Linked DNA regions of Oryzias latipes. The protein of the gene in region 2 interacts with the protein of the main gene of each other region in a pairwise test. Links are inferred from orthologs where the notes say so. Each region holds a gene or a part of one and is shown on either strand. Other genes may lie near its edges. The genes, in order: hemk1, N-chimaerin and nck2.

Region 1 (4,386 bases), on a different chromosome or scaffold from region 2:
GGATGGGTGAGCGAAAACTTTTGGTAATATAGTGTAGTTTCTGCAGAGCGGCAGTAGTTCATTAGAAATTTACCTCTGACTTGTGGGGGGGACGATTAGCATGAGGCAACCCCGCCCCCTTCACCCTCCCTGCTGCCTAGAGTCCAGTGTTTACACTCTCTTCTTCTAGCTTACAGCCCTTCACAACCCCAACCTAACATTACCAGTGCAACAAAAATGGCGAGCAATAGTGGATCTATCCAGCCGTACAGTTCTGACTAGATACCAGATCAGACGAGGAAAAAAAAGAGGTTTATGGTTCTAGTCGTCTATGGAACAGAGCAGGGAAGTTGTGTTGGTCCACAAATCACCATCTTTTTTACAATCCAGACTGGAATTTGTCACGCTGTGTATTGATCAGCCACAAAGCTTCAGAGAGAAAATCCTGTGGACAGACGAGACCAAACTGGAGCTTTTTGGGAACATCAGCTCTGTGATTACATATGCAAAACTGAAACAAAGACATGAGGACCGTCATACTGTGAAGCACGGAGGAGGCTTGGCTATGATATGGGACTTCTTTGCTGCATCTGACTCAGAAACGATGAAATCTCAAGACCATCAAGTCATTTTGAAATCAAATGTTTTGCCTAGAAAGCTTTGTGTCAGTCTACCAACAGGAAAATGTCCCAAAGGCAAGAATGACTAAAGGCCTGTTCACACCGGGACGAATTTCGCCGGCGACATTCGCTGCGTTTAACGCCTCGTGACTAAACAAAGGGCACCAATGTGAGTGTGCACACCGACGCGAAAAAACGCCATGCGTCAAAGCGTCACTTTTTTAAAAACGCCTCGGGTTCGGTTTTTTTTGGTTTGACGCGCCGCGTCGAAAACTATATGACCAATGAGAATGGCGCTTTTGCACACGTGTCTGGAGCTTCTGAAGTTACACTAAAACACAACTTGGGGGCGCTCAAACACAAAACTGCCTTGCTGAGCACACATACCAGCGAAGAAGATGCGTCTACACTGCTGCGAAGAAAGAATGACGGACATTCTAAAATATCCCCGAACCAAGCACCAGTTGGAGCTACTGGTGCTTGAAATATTCATGTTTTCTTTGTTTGATTCTGACAAGCGCGTAAATACTTGCTCTCTTCTTCTGAGTGAAAAGCGACTTTAAGAAGCGTAAAGTTGCGCAGCGCCACCTTGTGTACAGGAGTATTTCTGTTTTACATTAAGCGCCATCTAATGTCAAGGAATGAAATTGCATGTTCGCTCGGCTCATCGTCAGCAAAAATCGCCTGGGTGTGAACACAAAAAACGTGGCGAAAAATGCTGGCGAATAACGCCTGGCGAATATTCGTCCCGGTGTGTACGGGCCTTAAGAGCGAAACTTCAGAGTGTTCTGATGGAAGGAGTTGAAACATGCTGTCAGGAGAAGGAAGCTCTGCTGTGATTCCATTTCTCCACACACCTGCATCAAGGTATTTCTTGTTCATCTCTAAAGAGTTGAGCTTGAAGCTCCTGAGAAACATTTTTTCTTTACAAAGTGAAAGGACCGGGGAGGTCAAAACTTTCTTCCAGTTCCTCCAGTGTTTTTACTCAGTACAAGTGAGTACAAGATCATACCAGAAACAAGTTTGTCTGCATTTTATGCCTCTGTAGCTGCTCACACAAACTAATTTGAGTACACTTACTGGAGTGCATCTCCAAAACATGGCAACTGGTTTGACTTGGATGAAACTGTTCAGAAATTTAGATGGCTCACTGACAAAAATGGAATCTCTTCGTTTGTTTGTGTTGATTTAGAGTAAAAACAAACCCGACTTGATTCGTTAGATCCACTTTAGCTTGGGCATGAAAAAATAAAAATAAAGGTGTGACAGGATGTTGAAGATCCACTCCAATCTTTTGTTTTAATTTAAAAGCGTTCTAAGCGGCCTCATAATTATAATCATGCAATTTCTAGACCCCCCCAAAACAAAACAGAACGGTGTCATTGTCTAGGATAGTTTCTGCAGAGCAGCAGGAGTTTATTAGAAATTCAGATGTGGGTGGTACCTTTGGCACACAGAATATTGTTCAAATTTAAATAATTTTCAAAGGGTCTGATTTTCAGTGCAAATTTGATATTTCATTACAAGCACTGAGGATGGCTTAAACATATGACAAAGAAAGAATAAACAAATGGAAGAAAAAAGCACAAAAAAGAATAGAAATGTCAAATAATTAGATATTTAATTTGTATAGGTTTGAGTTGCTTTCGTGAATAATTTAGCTGTTAAAGGATCATTTAACCCCTTTGCATCTTTGATTATCATCTTCACTCTGATACACACGTTATACTCTGTTACTTACTCTGTTGCAGGACCAGTTTGCTCACAGCTATCAGCCCAAAAAGCAGGCTCCAACTGGTTTTATCCATCCATTTATTACTGCACAATAATAAACAATAAAAGCCTGCGTATCATTAATTTCATCACTAAGCGCACGTGGTCATTTCTGTTGCACCACATTATTAATTCTGGTCTTTGTGTGATCAAAGCATGTTGTGTTTCAGCAGTTACCTTTGTCCCGCCACTCCTCAACCCAATAAAAGCGTGACCTCCTCTGAGCACTCGTCTCCACATGTTCAATAACAACAACAGCGTTCACATCCCCACGTGGCAAGAATCATGCTGCACTAAAATAACACATTAACCATTTACAGTCTATATATACAGTCTATCTATAGTTGACGAAATGATTCTCTATACTAAGTGACTGTAATTTGACTATAAACTGAAGACGTTTTCCTCTGTAGTCCACATGAGAATTGAAAGGAGCTCGGAAAGTACTGTTTCCGCAGGGCTTTACGCAAACACACCAATCCTGGACTGCGCATGACTGACTCTCGCGAAGCGTGCTGCCTTCAAGTGCGTCGGTTAATATGAACTACAACAGCCAGCAGAAATAGAGAGGTGCTTATTAATAGAAAGAATGATTAAAACATTCTACTTAACAATTTCAACGAAAAATAATGTAGAGTTAATAAAAGTAAATAACATTTAACTCTAGTGTTTTAGGACGTCTCAAAAACTAAAATGCCTTGATGATATTAGTGAGTCCATAGTGAGTCCGTGAAAGTGAAAATGAACAATTTTAGAAGTTTTAGTATTTGTCATGCATCAGAGCATCAATATATTGATGTTAAATTTGCATTAAATTCCTCTGAGACTCATTGTGAAGCGTACAGGGCTTTTTGGGTAATACTTTTAAGGAAGCCGTTGTATTATCCCTCATTTTCCAATAGGTGGCGACAAATCTTCTGTCAGCCGATCACCAACGTCCAACTGCTCTACAGAAGAAGAGAAGCGACTTGTGTTGTTGACTGCTGAGGGTTTTCACATGCTGTTTAAACAGTTTAAGACGCGTCCAACAACAATATCTCTAAACGCACCGATAATACTATATTTTATTCGGTGATCAATATTAGGACTGTTGGACGCTGTAGAAATGTCGCCACTATTTTTTCCTTAGGCGCAAAAGCGTGGAGCTAGCTAGCTAGCTAGCTTCGTTTAGCTGAAGCAGGAAAGGAAGAAACGACATCGTCCGTTTCTTCTGTCGGTATCTCTGACTCTAATTTTTAGCCTCTGTGTTTGAAGTTCGTCACAGGCATGGTCAATCGGATAGAGTGTATATTCTTTAGTGAGTTTCACCCCACACTGGGTCCAAAGATAACATATCAGGTGAGTGCTAGTCTGAAGTTGTGATCATGATCCGTAAGCAGACTAGAATAGTAACTTAGTCTTTAATGTTTACCTTAGTAGAACGGCCACAACAATGCCTCTATTATGCAGTACCGCATTATGCTGTGCCCTATTTTGTCCTAACACAAGAAAGTAAGAAAACTTGTTTTTCCTTTTGTTATTTTTCGCTTCCTTTTTGCACATAATGTTTCTTTTAATAACAATCAATGTCAGTACATTTCACTTTAACTTGACGCCCCACTTGTTAAAATTGCACTTTTTTTTCCTTTTTATATGATTATTATTATATCTCTCACATGGATTCAATGTGTCATGTGTTGTATCATTAAGATTTATGATCAACAGTAATTATAATAGCATCACCTACATGTGTTCGAAGAATGTATAGAAATGGATATTTACTTTCAATATTTTATTTTCCAGTCAAATAATTACTAATCCTCTTAAGTTTGATATATCTATGTGTAAATGTATCACTCTTGTTTGCCTTGCCCTGTTTTCATTGCTTGAAATAAATCCATACCTAATTCTAAAGGTCTATTAAATGAAACCGTAAAAGTGCAGTATTTTAACAGAAGTACAGATGAATACGAGAGTAGCTCCCTTTAAAAAAATCATATTTAATTTAAATAAATAAGTTGAATCTTCTTTATAT
Region 2 (4,324 bases):
GAAGTATTTTAAATAATTTGTCTTAAAAATTACAAATATCGGAGGCAAAAGCACCTTAAACGTATTTTTTTTCCATGTGAGGCTTTTGCCCCAAAAAAACAAAGATTATTAAGTTGGATGGTAGTTTTTTAGATGCTTTCTGTCATATTTGTCCAGCAGTAACTGTGGTGGATTGCATAAAAAAGTCTCGACGGCCTGTTGAATGAACCATTTTCAGTTCAGCTGCAGCTTTGAGTCACAAAGACACAAATGTACTTCACAATAATCTGCACAACAAGTGCGAATTATGAACTTCCACCTCCGTGCTTCTGAAACAACGTTGTCGTTTTCATCTCCTGCGGTTTGTTTGGAAAGGTTTAAAACATTTAGATGTTTTTTTCTTTTGGCAAACCGCCCCAAACTTGAGACTTTGAGTTTCTGTGAACTTAAAACTGAGCTCCTGGTCGGGGATCAAACCCACCTCAGGGCCAGGGTGTAGGTGCCCGGCTGCCTCTGGCTCTCTCGGATGAGGTAGCTGCCTTCGGCCTGACTCAGGAGCTGGTCCGTTTCCTCCCTGGAGATCATCCCGTGGAACCTGAGCGGAAGCAGAGCAGAACCTCCAGCAGACCCGTCATGGTGGAAAAGGCGCCAACATGGCCGCAGGGAGGAGGAGGAGGAGGAGAAGGAGGAGGACTTACTCTCTGCCGTAGTATTTAGGACGGTTCTCCACCTGCGGGGACACAAAGGTTTTCCATGTCAAACATGTGGGAGGGGCTTCAGGACCCCGAAGCTGCCTGGTGAGTGTGTGTGCACAGAGAATAGTGCATGAGTCAGACATTGTGTGGTTCCCCACAAAACTGCTGCTGAGCCAATAAATCAGCGGGGGGCGGCGAGCACGGCTGTGAATATCAATCCGGGGGCTGGAGCGGAGAGGTTCAGAGCTTTTCTGGAAGAATCTTTTTAGACGTGAAGAGCGTCACCGCAGACGGCAACCAGAGCTGCTGGTGGCCGACTCTCAGCATCACGCCGTGGAGAGCTGAGGGGAGGAGCGGAATCAGACGGGGAGGGGAGCCTATTTTCAGTCCCTCTTTGGAGAGGATGATGAAATGAGTTGTTCTGGAGCCGGAGGCAAACATGACACGCATCTGCAGGAGAGACTCGCTGCTGTTTTCATGAGCCTAAGCGCAAAAAATAGACCGATTCTGAACCTCCACCCGTGGCAGAGTGGTGTTTGTGAGCTTCCACAAAGCCTTTCAAATCTATTTTTGACTGAAAACTTTAGTCTGAAGGATTTCAGAAGGCAGCAAAGAGGAAACACGAGTGAACTTTTCTGTTTCACGTCAAAAGTAGTCGACATTTATTAGAGAAAATAGTTTGAAAAGTTAACTTTTTCACTTCCTGAAATGTGAAATACATGCCATAATATCACCACGACACCTTGACACCCCCACAATGAATAAGAGCAGCGAGTCTGTGAAATGGCGTGAAGATGTGGGGGGGGGTCTGGGGTTCTTTTTTCATTCCTCCTGCCCACCGGTTTGTTGTCGGTCAGCACCAGCTGCCCCTCTCAGGTCATTCAGCAGTTTTCCATAGGAACCACAAACACCAGATGTGCCCTCCCACATCTTTACTACCCCCAGGCAAAGTCTGCACTAGAGTGGGGAGTAGCACAGAGTGACCTTAAATAAGCTGATTTAAAAAAAAAAAAATAAAGGTTTATATTGAATGGGTAACAACCCGCTGAACAGCTGCAAGTCAAACCAAGAAAGACGTTTGGAAAATCTGCACTGACGAAAATCGGCTTTTCCAGGTTTAAAGGTTGGATCTGAAACAAGGCTGGACAGTGAGGTGGGAGGAAGCGTCTCACCTCGGAGGTGCAGGTGACTCTGCGGGGGTGTGGCGCCTCCTGCTGGAGCTGGTACACTGCGACAGACAGTTGGTGTGTGAGGACCGCCGACTGACAACATGGACACCGATTCAAGCAAAGACCTGTACTCACAGTAGGACTTCCACACCGGCGGCCGATAATCGTCATGATCTGGAAACACAAAGAGGCATCAGACAAGGGGAGGGGGGGCGACCTCTGACCTATGAGTCACAGGTTTGGTTACCGCCTTGTACGGCTAAGTGGTGAAGTGTCCTTTGGCAAGACCCCGAACACCACATTCCTCCTGGTGGTGACAGAAGTGACTTTTATGGAAGCAAAATGTTTGTATATGTCTGCAAATGTGTGTGTGGATGTGTATGTGAATGTGTGTGTGTGAATGGGGCTGTAAACCAAACTGAATCCCATTGACAGTACAAAAGCATCGTGGAAGCACCATAGACTGTAGAGACAATGGAGGAATGGAGGTGTGACATCACCCGTAGAAACCTCCAGCTCTTGTGAAACGAGGCCAAATCCATCACCGTTGCTTCGTGACACGGGCGCCGCCATGTTGAATCCGGTAGACAGTCATCGCTCTGAGGCCGTGTCCGAATTCTAGGGCTGCATTCTTCCTGGGCTGCATTTGAAGGCTGCTTACGTCACGCGACACGAGCTGTCCAAATTCAACGACTCCTTCAAATGCGGCCTCTAAGATACGGCCTTCTTTTTCCCAGATTTCAAGGATTGATCTGCTGTATCCGTCTATGCTGTACATATCCCAAGATGCATTGCAGCCAAACCTAGATATTTTCTGATAACGGTGGCAGACTGTGAAGTGGGAGACGGTGTTAAAAAATGATTACACGTTTTTATAATTACACCTCCAAGATTAAAAGTTGGATCAAATAAGGCAGGAAAACTTTGAGCTGGTTCAATACTCCGCTCTGTTTTCGGGACTCACGGTTGCTAGGCAACATGACATTCACGGATGTAACGGCTGGAATTATCGTCCAAATTCACAGCCGTTACATCCGGCCTAGCCACTGGACGAAGGACAACATCACCCGGAAGGACCGGGATGCAGCAGTCGAGTTTGGACACAGCCAGAGTCATCGCATCAACTGCAATGGCGACAGTAGTTGCCATGGATACGATGACTTAGAGCGTCTCGGACCAATCACTGTGGACTGGTTTCAACAAGGCGGCGCCCGTATCAGGAAGCAACGGTACTTCCTATTTGGGAACAGGAGACAGGAGGGGTTGAGCCGTCCATTGTTTTCACAGTCAATGATAAATACACAGTAGCTACTGTCCCTCACTTCCTTAAAGCTCCTTCCCTTTCAGACACTGCCACCATGTGGACAATGGATGAGCTGCAGCTAAAGTTAATCATTTCCCCATTAGTCATCAGTCAAACAGACCATAGAGCACAACACCGTCCTTCAAACACATTATATTTCAGCCAAGAGACACTATATAGTTTTTTTCCACAGGATGATCCTCATGAGCATGTTTGGATTCCAGATTTACAGTCGTGGTCGTCTCTGGATCACAGAACCAAACTCCTTTAGAGCTTTAAGCGTTTCTGTAGAGATGATAAGGACTTGGACGCTCACTTCCTGTTGGAAGGAGCTTCTGGAATCGGGCCGGACACCTCAGACGGATGTGTCCTTGAATCCGACCGTGATTAAAAATGACCTCAGAGTCGTATCTTTGGTAACCGGAGATCCTGACCAGTTGAGGTCAACCTGAACATCTTGGGTTTTTTTTAAGATAAGGTTGTTGTTTTTCATAAATACAATGTTTTTTTTGCTGAATTCCTCTGTTGGGTGACCAGCGGAGCAGCTAAAGACTTAAATCCGACCATCTTTTCGGCTTCTGTGGTACAGAAACCTTCTGAAGTGGGGTTTTCTGCCATCGTCCATATCTGTGTGTGACACCAGTAGGCGGCCTTCCTGCCCCGTGTCAGACCTCCTCCACGGCCTTATCTGCCCCTCACGGAGGCTTCTGCATCCTGTCCTCCATTCCTGCTCAGGGAGCGTCTGCTCCTGGCTGTCATGGCGCCGTGCAAACCTGTTGGACACACCGTCTTTCTGCACCAGGAAGCTAGCCGGCGGTTTTGGGAAATTGTCATCTGACTTTAGAGGAATGTCTAAATCTCTTCTCTTCTCTGAAATGAAACTTTACGCACAGTTGCCTTGGACTAAACTGTTACGGTCACATTTCTTCTGTTCTCTAAAAAAAATGTACAACCTTTAACCGATTAGAGGATGCCAATTCACTCAAATGGTGATTAAAATGACAAAAAAATAAGATTTTAATAAGATGCTTACCAAAGACATTTAAGGCCATCCTGATCTCCATATGCTGAACAATGGAACCGCAGACCTGAATCCTGTCCTGAACTCACTTTAGATCCTTCAGAGAAGCAAAGGAGAAGCAGAGAAACATCAGAGGAAGCTGCAGACAGAAGCTGCA
Region 3 (3,598 bases), on a different chromosome or scaffold from region 2:
CTGAGTTTTGCTGGAATCATAATTGAGGTAAACTTTAGGAAGTGAAGATTTCTAATAGACAGTGATGAAAGTCTTCCGGGAATTCCCGGAAATCCGGGTTTTTGAGCAAACCGAACGTACTTTCCGGGAAATAAAGACCTGATCTCTACGGACAAATCGCTTTCCGGATTAAAAAATGGTCTGAAATCAGCTAATTTTAGCTTTATTTTCTATATTTCTCCGCAGATAGCTTCCTCTATGGTCGTGGCCATCCCTCGTCTTCCCGGCCTAATTGACCAATGACGGGACGTTTTAGTTGCTTTCGGATGCGTCGACGGGTCTGATTGGCTCTGTCTGCACCACGTGGTCAGCGTGACTCGCTTCCCTAGAGACCAAAACTGGCGGACCCACGCTAAATTTTCACAAACACATCTGAAGAGTTTGCGATCAAATTTGTGTTAAAATAATGGCAGGCATCGTCATTATTGAGCGTGGTCACGACCTCAGTTGTGAGAAGACGATAAAAAACAAATTGAAGTGGTCTTGGCTGGAAAAAAAAGATTTTTAAGGTAGTGTAGGTCAAATACTTTTTTGTGTAAAATAATCTCAAAACCACATTTTGAAATAATTTCAATTTTAGTTTTGAGTTTCAGTTTTTATTTTGAATACATTTCTTTATCTAATTTATTTGTATTTCCTAATTACCATGATTTAGTTCAGTATAGTTGACATTAATTATAAGTATTTGATGGTTTGGACCCGCACTCCCTTAAAAAATAATGTTTACAATGTTTAGTTTAGTTTGTATGTTTGTTTTGATATTTCCCAGATTACTTAGTATTGGTGTTAAAGAATTGATGTATTATGTTATAGAATTATAGTTTAAAGCAGATCCCATATTTTGATGTAATTATAGTTTGAGAAAACAGTGCAAGTGGATGTTGTACATCAGTCATTTCTAAAGCAGAAATAATGTATAAATAACTGAGGTATTTTCATAGAATATCATAGTTACTGGTGTTCTTTTTGCCATTTGGGGCTTTGATGTTACTATATTTTAGCAATTGTATGTTTTGCAGCTTTAAGGAAAAGCGTAGATTGTAGGATTGTGTTACTTTGAGCAATTTTCCAAATTCTTTTTTAGGACCAGCAAGTCCTTAATGGAGAGTCAAACTAGGGGTTTGAATGACAAATCATGATGCTCCAATTAGTCTTAGTTTCTTGATAAAGAAGTGAATAACTAGTTGCCAGAATGCACCAGAATGCATCTAAGACCACGTATTTTTCCAAAATTTCGCTCTGTGCCCGCCATATCGCTCAAAGAAAAGTTCAGGGATTTTTTCCTTGCCTGACTTTCATCACTGAATAGAAAAATCCACCAATTAAGGCTTCACCTGGAGTCTACTTGAATTATTCATCACAGTACACTTCCTGCTCAGAGCAGCAGTTAGTTTATCAATGGGATTCTTGATGACTCGGTTTATGTTTTTGCTGAGTCATGGTTCTTTTTTCTATTAAGCATTAGAAGCCCCATATATTCTGCTTAGTCATGAACAAACAAAACAGAAAGGTGAAAAGACTATTTAATAAATGAGAAACATTTGCAATCTCTGATTTATATTTGGAGGCATTTTAACCCTTTAAAGCCCCCCACCTCACTGAATATTCAACTTCTTTCATTTTCTACGTCACAAATACGCTTTTTTAAACGACATCTTTTCGTCTGCTCCTGATTCACATCGATTTGAATAAAAAAATACTAAGAAATCCAACTTTAAGCATAATTTTCTTTAAATATACATATACATGTCCTTCATCATGAGGAAATTGTCACAAGAACATGTTAAAAACACCGTTTTCATCAGAGTGGATCTTTAAAGTTTAAGTCCTGAAGTTCACCTGCATTTCCTTCTCGCTTCTTTAAAGACTTGGAGCCAAATGGTAGCAACTATTTCACCATACAAGGAAGTAGCACCAAACAAAAATCCTCCTGAAGACAACTGGATTTATTTATTTTTATTATTTTATCATTCTCATAAACTTCTTTCAGACTTTTCCAAAGCATAGATAAGGAAACCTAGCGCCCTGACTCTGCACTTCCAGACTGTTTCCGTCTGAATTTCGGCACCAAAAACTAATTCTGTTCTAAAATATTGTTGAGCTCAGAAGCTTCTGAGCTGAGAGTTATGACAGAATTAGCTTCATGTCTCAGAATGAATCAAACTTTAATAAAAGGTTTCATCTTTTTCATCTTTCATCTCTTTTATGCTCCAACAGAGGAACTCAAAGGTTTGCTACACGTGTTTTAAATTAAAGACATTTATACATACATTGTATTAAATATAACTTTATACCAGAAATGCATAAATTACCTGTGTTTTTTTTAAATTGTGTTTTTTGTAACATCTTATTAAGCGTTTTGTCTCTTTCATACAATAAACACTCTTTAAAATAAACAAGTCAAACATAATGTAGATTAGTAGATGTTTTGTTTTTCTTCCTTGCCCCTCTAAATGAGACGATTTATCATTTTGGAGTAATTAACTCTTTTCTGATGTTTGGGTCAAAAAAAGTTTTTTTTTTTTCCTTTAAAAAAATGTGGGGATAAAGATTCAGACCGAAAAAAATGGTCTGTTTTTGCCACAAAAAAAAGGTTTAACAAAAGAATATTTTATACTTACATAAGCAACACATTTATTGTCCACTTAAGTGTGGAGCCCAAAAGCCTCTCAAAGCAGCTCCTCAGACCTCCTCTTTCATTACATGTGATCCATAATGCGGAGCAGTTAGGAGCAGGATAAAGGGAGTAAAAGGAGGTTTTATCTGGAACTATCTCACAAAAAAGACAAAAAAACACAAAAAGAAACAAAAGCCTGAAGCAGAAAGGCTGCAAATGGGAGACTCTGCTGCCATCTGCTGGAGAGTCGGCTCTAATCCATCTTCTTTGTTTTGCAGCCCAGTGATTTCTCTGTGTCTCTGAAGGCGGTGGGGAAGAATAAGCACTTTAAGGTGCAGCTCTCAGACGGAGTGTACTGCATCGGCCAGCGCAGGTTCAACTCCATGGACGAACTTGTGGAGCACTACAAGAAAGCCCCCATCTTCACCAGCGATCAGGGGGAGAAGTTGTATCTGGTCAAAGCGCTGCTGTGATTCACACGCCTCGACGCTCTCATAGCCCCGCCCCCCTTCTTCCATTACCTGTCTCACTTGACCAGGTTTCAGATCCTCCGGTCTTCCACCGGCCTCTCTGCCCTGGATGTGTTTCCAGTGAGCACATCTGCTGCTAACAGAACGTGTGAGGCCTTGTTGGGGTGTGGGGGGGGGGGGGGGGGGGGTCTCACTCTGATGTCACTCATCATGTCTATTTACAAGCAGGGACGTTGTCAGTCGCACCGTCGCTCTTAAAACACACAGGAGATCCAAACCTTGAGCTCTCATTTTCTTTTAAGGACTGCTTTCAGACCTCTTTGTTTATATTTCCTCACCAGTTGTTTTTCACAAAGTGACCACAATCACTCTTTTGCCTTTTTAATCGTTTTTCTCCCACCATTCCTTTGATTTCTGCAATTCCTGAATTTGTCTGCCTCAGCCGGTCTGAACTCTTTCCTTAAGGCAGAGG

What was found.
Region 1: the proteins of N-chimaerin (region 2) and hemk1 interact in binary tests that used the Homo sapiens proteins (3 or more experiments, as listed by UniProt). The two-hybrid records come from large-scale screens. The link is inferred for Oryzias latipes from reciprocal best matches to the Homo sapiens genes CHN1 and HEMK1.
Region 3: the proteins of N-chimaerin (region 2) and nck2 interact in binary tests that used the Homo sapiens proteins (3 or more experiments, as listed by UniProt). The two-hybrid records come from large-scale screens. The link is inferred for Oryzias latipes from reciprocal best matches to the Homo sapiens genes CHN1 and NCK2.

The regions. Positions count from the first base shown.
Region 1 is NC_019863.2:8,120,472-8,124,857, reverse strand, and holds the start of hemk1 (hemK methyltransferase family member 1), read right to left. Parts: upstream 2,871-4,386; 5' UTR 2,613-2,870; coding exon 2,550-2,612; intron 1-2,549. Other genes in the region: GATOR complex protein NPRL2, read left to right, coding at 3,639-3,710. UniProt on the Homo sapiens protein: N5-glutamine methyltransferase responsible for the methylation of the glutamine residue in the universally conserved GGQ motif of the mitochondrial translation release factors MTRF1, MTRF1L, MRPL58/ICT1 and MTRFR.
Region 2 is NC_019860.2:23,907,177-23,911,500, reverse strand, and holds the start of N-chimaerin, read right to left. Parts: upstream 2,898-4,324; 5' UTR 2,417-2,897; coding exon 2,344-2,416; intron 2,018-2,343; coding exon 1,979-2,017; intron 1,903-1,978; coding exon 1,847-1,902; intron 710-1,846; coding exon 678-709; intron 575-677; coding exon 461-574; intron 1-460. UniProt on the Homo sapiens protein: GTPase-activating protein for p21-rac and a phorbol ester receptor. Involved in the assembly of neuronal locomotor circuits as a direct effector of EPHA4 in axon guidance.
Region 3 is NC_019879.2:10,333,067-10,336,664, forward strand, and holds part of nck2 (cytoplasmic protein NCK2), read left to right. Parts: intron 1-2,934; coding exon 2,935-3,129; 3' UTR 3,130-3,598. UniProt on the Homo sapiens protein: Adapter protein which associates with tyrosine-phosphorylated growth factor receptors or their cellular substrates. Maintains low levels of EIF2S1 phosphorylation by promoting its dephosphorylation by PP1.